Linked DNA regions of Drosophila melanogaster. The protein of the gene in region 2 purifies or fractionates together with the protein of the main gene of each other region. This does not show direct contact. Each region holds a gene or a part of one and is shown on either strand. Other genes may lie near its edges.

Region 1 (5,216 bases), 9.3 Mb from region 2:
TTGGATTTGGAGGCCATCTGGAGTTGGACTCGAACCTGGCTGCGGTTGGCTTTTAATAATGCAAAGTGGCCGATTTTTTCGACCTAATTTGGCTAATTGGCAGGCCGACAAATAAAGCATTGAGACATTGAAATTTCGGTGCTTCAGCTTCGAGCGGATTTTCACACATCAACACAGCTTCAAAGTGGGGGAGGCAAAGAATTTTCCGCTGCTTCTCCGTCTTTCCTGTTTTGGCTTTTTGGCAATTTTATGACAGGCACTGGGGAGCAGGAAGGCGGGAAAAGCTGCTGCCTGGTGAAGTGTTGAAAATTTACGAGCTCCGCCCCGCCCCAATCGCACCCCCCTGGCCCACTTTATTCAATTTCATTTCTTGCGCCAAAGCTGAAAAGAAATTCTGCAAAAGTCTTCGGGTCTCAGGAATTTATTGTTTGCCAGTTACGAAATTTATTTGTTGCTGTAAATTTACAATTCTTTCGCCGCTGCCAGGTAGCCCAACCCAAACACCCACACGTTCGTGTGCTCCAGGTTCGATTTCCATTTGATTTTTATTTCGTTTCAAAGCTCCAATTGTTTGGCAATTGTTTTTATAACACCACAAAAACGCTGAAAGGCAGGAGAAGAGCAAGCGCGGCTGCGGTGGGATGGCTTCGATGAGGATGAAGAAGATGAGGAGCGGAAAATGGGCACCGGAGCTCAAAAGGGAAATGCCAGAAATAAAGTTATGTAAGTCCGCATTATGTGTAAGTTCAAATGCCAAGAAGCAGAGTCGGAAATAATAAAACTGAAGCATGTCGGAGCATGTATTTGTGTTTAGGTTGCTCGTGGTCGAGGTCCAGGGATCGAAAATATTGGATAGGTCTGGGAGTGGCCATGAAGACGCTACGAGGAGGCTGGCTGAAATCGATAATAGCAGCGAACTAACATAATCTAGAGTTAAATACGTGAACTATTGTCATCAAAACAATAGTTAAAAGTAAAGAATCTAAAATTCTGTTCTCATATTAAGAGGGTATCCAAGTAACTACGATTTTCATTCAAAATCTATATCAACATAACTTAGTGCCCTGATTTCTGTCAGTGTACAATCAGGCAGGCTACTGTAACCCAACTCCTCTCAGAAGTCTCGAGCATTTTCCAGCCGCAGGCATTTTTTCACAGAGCGGGGACATCGTCTGGGATTCCCCCTAATTCCTGTCGGCTGACAGAGAGTATCCTTTTCAACTGCGCTTTGTGCGCTGGCTATTGTGGCTCTCGCTTTATTAATCAGACAAATCGTGAAAAAACGCGCTCAGTCGGAAAAAGGGAAATTATGAAATGCGAAACAAGAGCGGGCTCAATGTCAGGCGAAGTCCAAATCCCACTCCCATTGGGACTGCCGCCTTAATTTGTTTAATTTAGGCAAAATGTTTGGCCGCATTCGCCGATAAGGGGCGTAATTTGTTCAAACTTGTCGCAACTTGCTGGAATTCGCAACCCGCACGATTTTGTCACCGAAAAAAGGAATAATTTCTGTAACTAGCAGATGACACGGTAGCTCACTTGAATTGCGTTTGAGAAACATTGGAATCCTTTTGCACATACATAATTTGCTTTTAACTTTTTGACTAATACTAAAAATACACAAATGCCAAGTAGCAATGAATGGTTTTAGAACCAGTCTATCCTCTCTCAACGTACGTAGCTAATAACCAAATGTTCTCCATTTTCTTAAAATATTGATATCAATTAGCTCATTTGATTTAGGCACGTCTGTCAAAGAATTCGGTGATGTATACGAAAGCGATGGAAAACGGATCTCAGTATGTTTAAGCAGCATGGTACTCTTATCAGAAACGCTTTTATATTTTTCACTGATTTCCAAACATAATTTAAGTTACAAATTCATTTAATCCAATTTATGCATTGTAAAGTATTTCCGCACATCCTAAACTTTTTTAAATCACTTCCAGACGCTCTATTTGGGCCACTAAATTCCGGAGTTGTAGCTTTCGGTTTGATTCCACTGACCACACTGCCCACTGGGGTCGGCATACTCACTCACCTTGTCTTCCGTGTGTCCGCTGCGCTGTGTTGTTGGCCGTGTCCGGCGGACGGTGGGCCAAGTGCTGGTACTCGTAGTCGTAGTGGGACGACTGGGCGGCGGCTTGGGCGGCCTGCAGGTTCTGTTGGTTTTGGTGCTGGAGCGTCTGGCTGCCGTGGACCGGACCGAGGTCCGTCGTCGGCCGCCCGTGGCCGCTCATGGGGAGCGTACGTCCTTGGGCGTGTGGGTGGGCGTGAGCCGGAGTGGGGCCGCCGCCCACGTCGCGGCAGTCTAGAGTCGACTCATACTCGTAGGGATTCATGGCGGTCGCCTCCAGCGGACATTCGTCGTCGTCCGTGTCCGTGCCGCCGTCGTAGATGTTGTCCGTGTGGCGGTACGCGTGATGGGCGTGCTGCTTTGAGAACTTAATCTTGGCGGCTTGGGGGCTTTTGGCCAGACAGCCGGACAGGAGAAGAAGAAGAGGAGGAGGACTCCGCACGGGAGCAGGAAGAAGAGACTTGGTATGCGTTTGGCTACTCGCGATTATTCATGCACTTGCTGATGCGGATGCGGCTGCGGATGGCACTGGACGCACTGCACTCAAAAACATTTCTACTGGGCCATTTCCAGACGGTTAATCTGCGGGCGGGCTGCTGGTCCCAGCTCAATCACAATCTGCCGCCGAGGCCGCAATAATATTTCTTGGGCCTTTTCAGTAGTCGTACACTGAAAACACGGGACACACACGATGGGGAGCACAGGAACGCGACGGGAAAAACGGTGTTTTTGAATTGACGCGGTGTGTTTGTTTGCGCGACGATCGTAAAACTATGTCAGAATTCGTTAGACGCAGGTATCATTCGCTGCCTGATTCCCGACGATTTTCTATATTTTTCGACTGAAGCAACGCGCTGTTTTCGCTACTTTTCGTATATCCACATTTTCCGCGACGACAATTCCGACCGTGCGAGGCGAATTTCAAAAGACGAATGAGCTCAAAACGAACGACGAACCGAGTCTGTGGGAGAGAGAGAGAGAGCTAGAGAGCGCAAGTCGCTGCAAATATGAGAGAAAAACAATATGCTTCATATTCTCTCTTTTTCAGTTAAAATGCGTCGCTCTCTCATTTATTCTGATACTGCGCATGATTTGTGAGAGAGAGAGCGGTCGCGCACCAGCGTTGTCCATTTAGCTAATTTGCTGATAGTCTGGCCTTAGCTGGAAATATAGCTATTTTGCTAGAATAATAGGTGCTACTTATGTAGTTTAGGTTAATTTAATTGCAAAAGAATCACTCCGAATCATATAGATTTCCAGTCTATGACAGCGTTATAGAAAAAGATATGCAAGGAAATATAATAATATACTTTTAATACTCTTGTGCTTCTGTTAAGTTACCATCAATATTTGTTCTCAATGGTATGTTTAGCCTTTTTATAACCAGAAGAGTATGCAGCACTCAAATGAGAGCACTCATCGAATCTCTGGTTTGAAGGTTAAAAAGTGCGTTTCGTTTGGCTAAGGGGAAATGGATGTACAGCGGATTCGAATCTATCGTGCTGCACGCCAGTTTCGTTAAGATTATCTGAGGCGGCCAACAGCGCTGTAATAACAGCTTCACCGGCGGCTAACACCGACACTGTTAATTTTATTACAAAACTGTTAACCGGTTTACATAAAAGTGCGTATACGTATACCATATACCATATACCATAAAATATCAATGTAAATGTGGAGGTATTTAAGTTATTAGGTACAAACTTTAAAAGATAGCTTAGTTTATTCTTTATTATATATATTATATATTATATAATATATATTATTTATTATTATATATATATTATATATTCTCTTTATATATTGCCCTAAAATATCTAGGTTTTCCAAAACCTCCGAAAACTTTTAACTTTCAGCTTGCATTGAATAAATTGCAGGTTACACAAAAATATTAAAAACTACATTTTTAAAAACAATGGAATTTGTATTTCAAGGTATCTGAACCTCCTGTGGCCTGGGAATTACACAAAACAGTTTTTCATTTACTAATTATGCTGTCAGATTCTGTGGAGCATTTTCACGCAGCCAAAAAATATCCTCAGACTTCATTAGCGCTAGAAAAGTTAGTCAGTGGCGGCGAGGGGAGGCGAAAAAGTTTCAAATCGCTGACAAGTGAAGTTGTCATTCAGCACCCAAGCCAGAACCGAGCGGACCTGGCCAAAAAGTGTCCGAAACAAACAATGGTGGCCAGCGTGGGGTGGGTAGGTGATGAGGGGGCCATGGCCGAGAAAAGAAGCAGAAAATTGCGTTATAAGCAAAGTAAAGGACATTTCGCTAATGGCTTAACTTTTGAACGCAGGTCTCATCCTGCCGCCTCCACCGACCGCCCCCTAGCCCGTCGTGCAGGCAATTCTCTGCCATGTAGCGGAAGTTGTTGCTGAAGCTTTTTTGACAGCTTTCCCAGCACGAGAAGGATACGGCGGGGAAGAAGAAGAGATGCCGGAGAAATTGTCATTTCTTTTCCGAGTCTCGCAATGTGGCAACGCCGCGTGACGCAAATTTTTTTGTAGTCTGAAAGTATTTGCATAGGATATGGAGTCTTGCTTTCCCGATTTTCTTTGCTGTCGATGAAAAATCAATTTCCTGTTGTATGCAAAAATGTTTGAGCATCATTCAAGAAAGGGAGAGAAGCGTTGCTCGCCTGCACTTGACACATTGAATATTATCAGGAGGATGTGGATTCCGAGGGGGAATGTGACTTCTGATTTGGCTAGTTGTCGTAGGTTTCGATCTGAGTCTTCGTACAGGAACAAACATTCTTGGCTTGTTGTGCATATATTTAATTAAGGGGCAATGGATTAAACCTTTGCAGTTTTTTGAAGTTGAACCATTTGGGTTAACATTCAAAAATAACTCAAAAATGGCTTAATTCATTGGCTGTGTCTACCTTTTTATACCTTTTTTTTAATTATACTAGCTTGTAACTATTATAAGCAGCATCTACGATTCCCCAAAGAACAGCGAATTTCAACAGTAGAATGTGATAGTTTTTTGGTGGCTTAAGCAGCGTTGAGGGACTTCACAAACCGGATAAAGTGTCAAATTTCTATTCCGGCCACTGTAACTTCCTCCGTTTGTTATGCTTGTACTAGTTGCTTTAATTTTAGCAATTACTTGTGCAGTCCCCACACCACCTCCC
Region 2 (6,218 bases):
TTGAGTATCTGGTCTTTACTCTTTCTTAGCCGCCTTTATTGTTGGCCATTTGGGGGGCTTGGTTCTGGCCGCTATTTGCCTTTGTTATTTATTTATTGTTATTACCGTACATTGCTCGCTGGAAGTTCTGAAATGATTTCTATTTTCGTAATTGTCTAAATAGGTTTCGATTTGGCTTGAAATTGAGCGAAAAGAGAAAACCAACGAAAAATAGGGTTCTTGAGGGTTCCCAGGGGCAAACTTCGACGGTGAGTTGGCAACTTTCTGGTCCGCCAGGTGGCAGCTGCATTGCAGGTGACAATGAAGGGGTGGCTGTACCCATATATACACTTATACATATATATTTGTATATGGTAGTAGTTACACATGTGTTTCCATGCACATTGAATTGAAAATTATACCTCTTCCCCACTTGCCACGCTCTGCTTGAGTCGGGTCTGCAAAAGTTTTCAAGCTTGTTACTATTGAATAATAGTATATTAATTTTACTGCATTTTTTATTCCCCCGAGCACGGTATGCAAGCCCTCAACTTACTTTTAATTGAATTGAAAGTCAAAAGTTTTGAGCTCGTGGAAAAAAAAGTGAAAATGTCGAGACAAATTGACACAGAGGAAAAGTTGCCGGTGCACAGGGAAAATGTATAATTAAAGGCAAATTTCCACGGCAGTATGCTGGCTGAAAGGAAAATCTGCTAAATTAAGAGCAGAATGAACACACACAGTTGTATTTTTTAGTTTTCAAATGAGTTTTGTTTTCATTGCGTATATTTTCTGTTTTCGTTTGATATTTTGTTTTGTCGCTTAAATTTGCATAAATTTCTTGTTCTAACTAATACATAAATAGTTGTTTGCATCTGATACGATTTTGCATTTAACAATAAATTAAATAAGTTAAAATTAAGCTTACGTTGACTCTCAGTGCTTGTTGTCTTTATCTAAACTCGTATATCATTTACAATTCATCTTAAAGACTACGATTAACTTATGTTCGGAGGGGGACGAGGAAAACAGTAGTGTTGGCAAAGTGCTGATAGAATTGGAGATCCTTCAGTGTTCTATAGGTTCGAAAGAGTGCTTTAAAGTTAAGTATGTACAAGGCAAGATTTTCTCTGACTTAATGCCTAGGTTGTATTTCGATTACAGCTACTACAATGTTTTCCTTACGCCTAACTACACGCTAATTGTGTCTGGAGGGGAGTGAGTGGTTTTAGTGGGCTTCTTGGGGGTTTTGGCATCACAGTGTTGGGCAGCGGACTACTAAGCATAGATGCTCAGCTGCCTGCGTCGATAGGTCGAGGATCAGTGCGTGAACTGACGCAGGGTGTTGTTGTTCTGCTGCTGCTTCTGAGAGGCGGACTTCTGCTGGAAGGATCTGCGTCCTGTGGTGGCACACAGTCCATTCCGCAGGGGCAAAGCTGGTGGCATCGGTGGCGGCGTGGGCGTCTTGCTGCGACCCAGTTGCTCCAACGGCATCGAGTAGTGGGTATTGCTGTAGATGTAGTTGTGGTCCAGGATCTCGCTGCCCATCTCCTGATCGTATAGCTCACGCTGCTTGAAGTGCTCTTGGGTCAGTCGCAGTTGCGGCTGATTCGGTCCACCCAACGGGGCGCCATGCACCATGGGCACATCCGCGTATGAGTAGCAGGAATCACCAACTGTAGCCGTGGCCGAGAGGAACTGCGGCTTGGTATAGTGGTTCAGCTGGGGATTCTGCTGATGCACATCCCGACCCATGGTGGCCGACTTCATGTGCAGCACAAATGAGGCACTGTCGTCGATGGCTCCCTGTGAAACCAGGGCCTTGTTGTTATTCAGCTTCTTCTCACTGATCATTGTGGCGGTGGGCACTACCAACTGTTGGAACTTCTGCTGGGGATCGATGGCGCCCAGGTCATTGACAGGCATCGGGCACATTCCATAGTGATGGGTAGCTCCGGGATGATGAGGTGCGGTATAGGTGTTGGGGAACGTGGAGTGGATGCCCAGGGAGCAGGGATGATGCTGATGGCGCGACATGTAGTCCTCGTCGCAGAAGGTCTTCTGGTATTCCCGTTCCTTACGGCCCAGAGCCGAGTTACCCCACAGACCGCCCTTGATGGTTTCGCGGATCTTATGACGGCAGCGGTACAGAACCAAAGCCAAGGCGGTAATCGTGGCAGCAGATCCCACCAGGAGAGCTCCAATCAAGGCCTGCTTGCGAGGATCGGCATGTGTGCATCCCATCATAGCAGGATTCAAATGGCGCAAGGATTCACCGCGCAGACGTTCGGGGAACTCACACAGCAGTTCGGAGACATCATCCTGACTGGCATTCTTGGCCACCAGCAGATTGTGCAGCCACATCACACGGCAGTCGCAGGACAAGGGATTTTCGGAAAGGTCCAGAGTCTGAAGATCCTTCCACGGGAACAGACCTTCTGCCAAGGAAGTCAGCGCATTGGCCTTGAGAACAACATGCTTCAATTGGGACAGCCCACTGAGGGCACCTTCTTGAACCTCCAAAAGCATTTTGTTGGACGATAGATTCAGATACTCCAGGTTACCATTGTCGCTGAAGGCTCCGGTCATCACACGCTTCAGCCTAAGAGCTCCATTCACCTCCAGGCGTTTAAGTTGCTTCAGGCCCATGAATGCGCCTTCGCTGATCACCTCGAAATCGTTTTGACCCAGGGACAGCTGCTCCAGACGAACCAGCTTGCTGAGACCCACGGAGGGAATGCGATCCAGACGATTATCGGAAAGATCAAGAATGCGCAACTCCTGCAAGCCGAGGAAGCTGTCGTGGGAGATGTTGCGTAGACTGGCACCCTTGAGTTCCAGGCGAGTAAGTCCTTTCAGGTCCTGGAAGGCATCAGCCTGAATGCTCTGCAGGGTGTTCATTCCAAGGAACAGCTCAGCCAGACTGGGCATGGCTTGGAAGATCACGGGATCGGGAACGGTGGTCAAGGCATTATCATCCAGATAAAGGATGCGCAACTGGGAGAGTCCATCGAAAGCCTTGGGATCCAGATAGCCGATGCGATTCTCGCCCAGATTCAGCTCCTCGATCTTCAGGAGAGGAGTAAAGGTGCCCTGGTGAAGTTCCGAGATTTGGTTACCACGCAGATTCAGAACAGTAACTGCCGACAGACCAATGAAGGTCTTATTGCTGATCTGCCCAATCTTGTTGTGATTCAGATGCACCTCCTGCAGCTTCTTCTGATAGGCGAAGGTGCGCTGCGGAATGGTCATCAGGTGATTCGAGGACAGATCGAGGAAGGTCAGCTCCGCGTAGAACTGGATGGACGAGTCGATGGTCTTGATCTTGTTGCTCTTAATCACCAGTCGCTGGATGGATGGATTCAGAGCAATGGGCAGCACGTCCAGCTGGCCCTCGCCACATTGTACCACCAGGGTATTATCATCGCACTGACAGCCGGGCGGGCAATTGGCCAAGCCCGCCGCAGGCTCCACACCAATGCTGGCCAAAATGCACCAGATGCCCACGAAGGCGATCATCATGTTTCGCTGCATCTTGGGATCTCTGATTCTCTTTTGATTTCTGTCTTTCGGTTTGCTTCGCTCTGTGCTGCTGTTTCAATTCTTTCAGAGTTTCTGTTGATTTTTTCAGTTTTCCATAGTGCTGCGGGTAGACAAACGAGGGAAAAATTTTCAAAATTAGTTTCTGTCTTTTCTGTGAGTTCGGTTAATTAGCCTATTTTCGTGGAACTATTTCTATTGATTAAAATTTACAGGGTTCTTGAAGCAAACATTTTTATGTTTTCACAAGTATTTCATATTGGATATATTTTTAGATTTGGTGTTGGAAAAATCTATATTAAGTTGCTAATGTTTCGGTCCTAATAAATTCTCATTTTAGAAATTTCAAACTCAATAAATATTTAAAGTCAGTAATTTAACTGAACAAAATTAAAATGTTCCAATTATATTTTTCGTATTTTATATTTTCTGGCAGCCTAACTTTATTTTGTTGAAACTTTTCTTCCGGTATTCTAATTTCCACAATATTCCACTTTTTCAGCACTTTTATAAAATGCACATTGTATGCCACAAGTGAAACTTACCTAATGTTTTTCTTTGATGATTGCTTGGCAACAATTTTTAGTTTTCAGCAGATTAAATCGTTGGTGAACAGAACATAAAATGCAAAATGCAGTGTTTCGGTTTTTGTTTGTATTTTGTGATGTGTTTGCGTTTTCACTGTTTCACTTTTGGAAAAATATTTTGAATAGCCAATTTTTTGTTTTGTCACATTTGCTCAACTAAAACATGTGTGTTGTTCAAAATTAAAATTTTGGTTTGTTGTATTGCTTGTTTCGTTTTTTTTTTTTTTGTTTGCTGATTGTTTGTGAAACGTGCGCGATAATCCAATGGTTCGCTTTGACTGCACGCTTCAAGTTGTTGTTAGGCGTTCGACGGGTTTCCGTTTGAATTTACGTATTTCGTGTTACCAACTCTGGTAAGAGAGAGGAACTTGGTCGCAATTGGGTCTCTATAGCTGGCAGACAACCGCTCACGACGAGGCAACGAACTACACTGATTTTACGAAGTGCCTGCTGCACAAACGATACCTCGGCTGGCCACTTTTGCCGGGGTGGTTGAGCGGTACAGAGCGGTAACAGAGCCGTTTGAGCGGTATGAGATGGTGGTGGTGGTGGTGGTGGCTGGCAGCTGCATCGGACATGGGTAAAAAGAGCGGCGTGGCTGAGGCGAGACGGCCTTGCGAAGGCGAGTTCTCTCAGATAAACCCGCCAGCAGGTAGTCGGAACTGGTTGTGAGTGTCGGATACAAATGTATCTCTAGTTGTCTCTCTCGATGGAGAACTCAGTGTGGCGAGTTTCACTCGAAGTTTCCACTCATTTATCTGGCTATACGTGCCCCATATATCCAGGCTCGCTCTCCGACAATTGCAACTCACACGTTGAACGAGCCGCACGTCCTCGACGAAATGCTGTCGCCCATAAAACCTAAAACTAGAACTGAAATAGTCAACGAAAAAAGTAAAAAAAAAACAAAACTGAAGAGAAAACTAAAACAGCCCAAGTGCTGTGGCATAATTAAGACCCCATAAAAAGTACATAGTCCTACGCAGAATAGGAGCTAGATGGATATTTATGGGCCGCAGACATGTCCTGGCCTAAGTGGAGCCTTTTAGTGCGGTTTACAGTCCAAATGTGACGCACTTGAAATTGATATTTTTGTATCTGCGAGTTTGTATCTCGAGGACACGAAAGTGTTGCACTCGAGTATTTCTCAAAAAATATTGTGTCATCTGATACATTTGAGATGCATTTCTCATTCTTGGCATGCAGAGCAAACAACTATTTACAACTCGGCAAAATCACAAAAAAAAGAACGGGAAAAAAACAACTGTGACAACAAGAAAATCAACTTTAAATGGCCATAACTTTGTGCCAACATATGTTGCTGGATCAGAGGGGACCGGGGTGGGGCACATTTTCCGGGCCTTACGGCATGCGGTTTTCCTCCACATTTTCCACAGCCAAGCCCCCCTGCCCCACCGACATAACTGGCATATTTCCGTCTCCGAGAATTTCGCACACAAAATTTATTTATCGTACCGAGATGCAAATCTTTTTCGACTGCTTTTCTGTATCTTTCATAAACTAACCAATAAGTAAACTTGTTAAATTTATACCATATTACCCAAATTTGAGGCATCTTTGCGTATTGAAAGCCAAGGCAACTGTTAATAGTTGCTTGACCATAGGATTTTATGAATTTGATTTGTTGCCTTTGAGAGAAAATAAATACATATACATAATTTATGACAGAAGTAGTTTTGGAAAATTTTCGTTGCCAAGAGAGATAAATTTAGCCTTTAAACATGTATTTCAAAACTCGTCTTTACAATTTATTTAAAGTAAAAAAATTTGATTTGCCTAACTTTGTTGGCAAACATTTTTTTCGTTTCTACTCTTTTGCTGAACTGAAATCTAAATTAAATTGTTGGTTCAATTTCTACATTATTAAATGGGGTACACAACCTATTTTGAATAATAAACCAACTATTGGTTCTCATACTAAAACCTTACATTTGCTCTTTGATGAAACATTCATAAAATTGCAGGCCTTTAAAGATCTGTTTCAAGAAATTAAACAGTTTTGCTGACTTCTTAGAGAAAGGCTTTGGCGAAGTATAATAATAAACTTGAATACAAATGCAGGAAATGCAAACAAATTGCCATAACAGCGGC

Evidence for each region.
Region 1: the proteins of trn (region 2) and Ten-m purify together in Drosophila melanogaster (affinity purification with western blotting; one study listed by BioGRID). This does not show direct contact.

The regions. Positions count from the first base shown.
Region 1 is NT_037436.4:22,404,851-22,410,066, forward strand, and holds the start of Ten-m (tenascin major), read right to left. Parts: upstream 3,014-5,216; 5' UTR 2,343-3,013; coding exon 2,042-2,342; intron 1-2,041. UniProt on the Drosophila melanogaster protein: Involved in neural development, regulating the establishment of proper connectivity within the nervous system. Acts as a homophilic and heterophilic synaptic cell adhesion molecule that drives synapse assembly.
Region 2 is NT_037436.4:13,112,593-13,118,810, reverse strand, and holds trn (tartan), read right to left. Parts: upstream 4,541-6,218; 5' UTR 4,065-4,540; intron 3,623-4,064; 5' UTR 3,514-3,622; coding exon 1,300-3,513; coding exon of another isoform or gene 1,258-1,299; 3' UTR 734-1,257; downstream 1-733.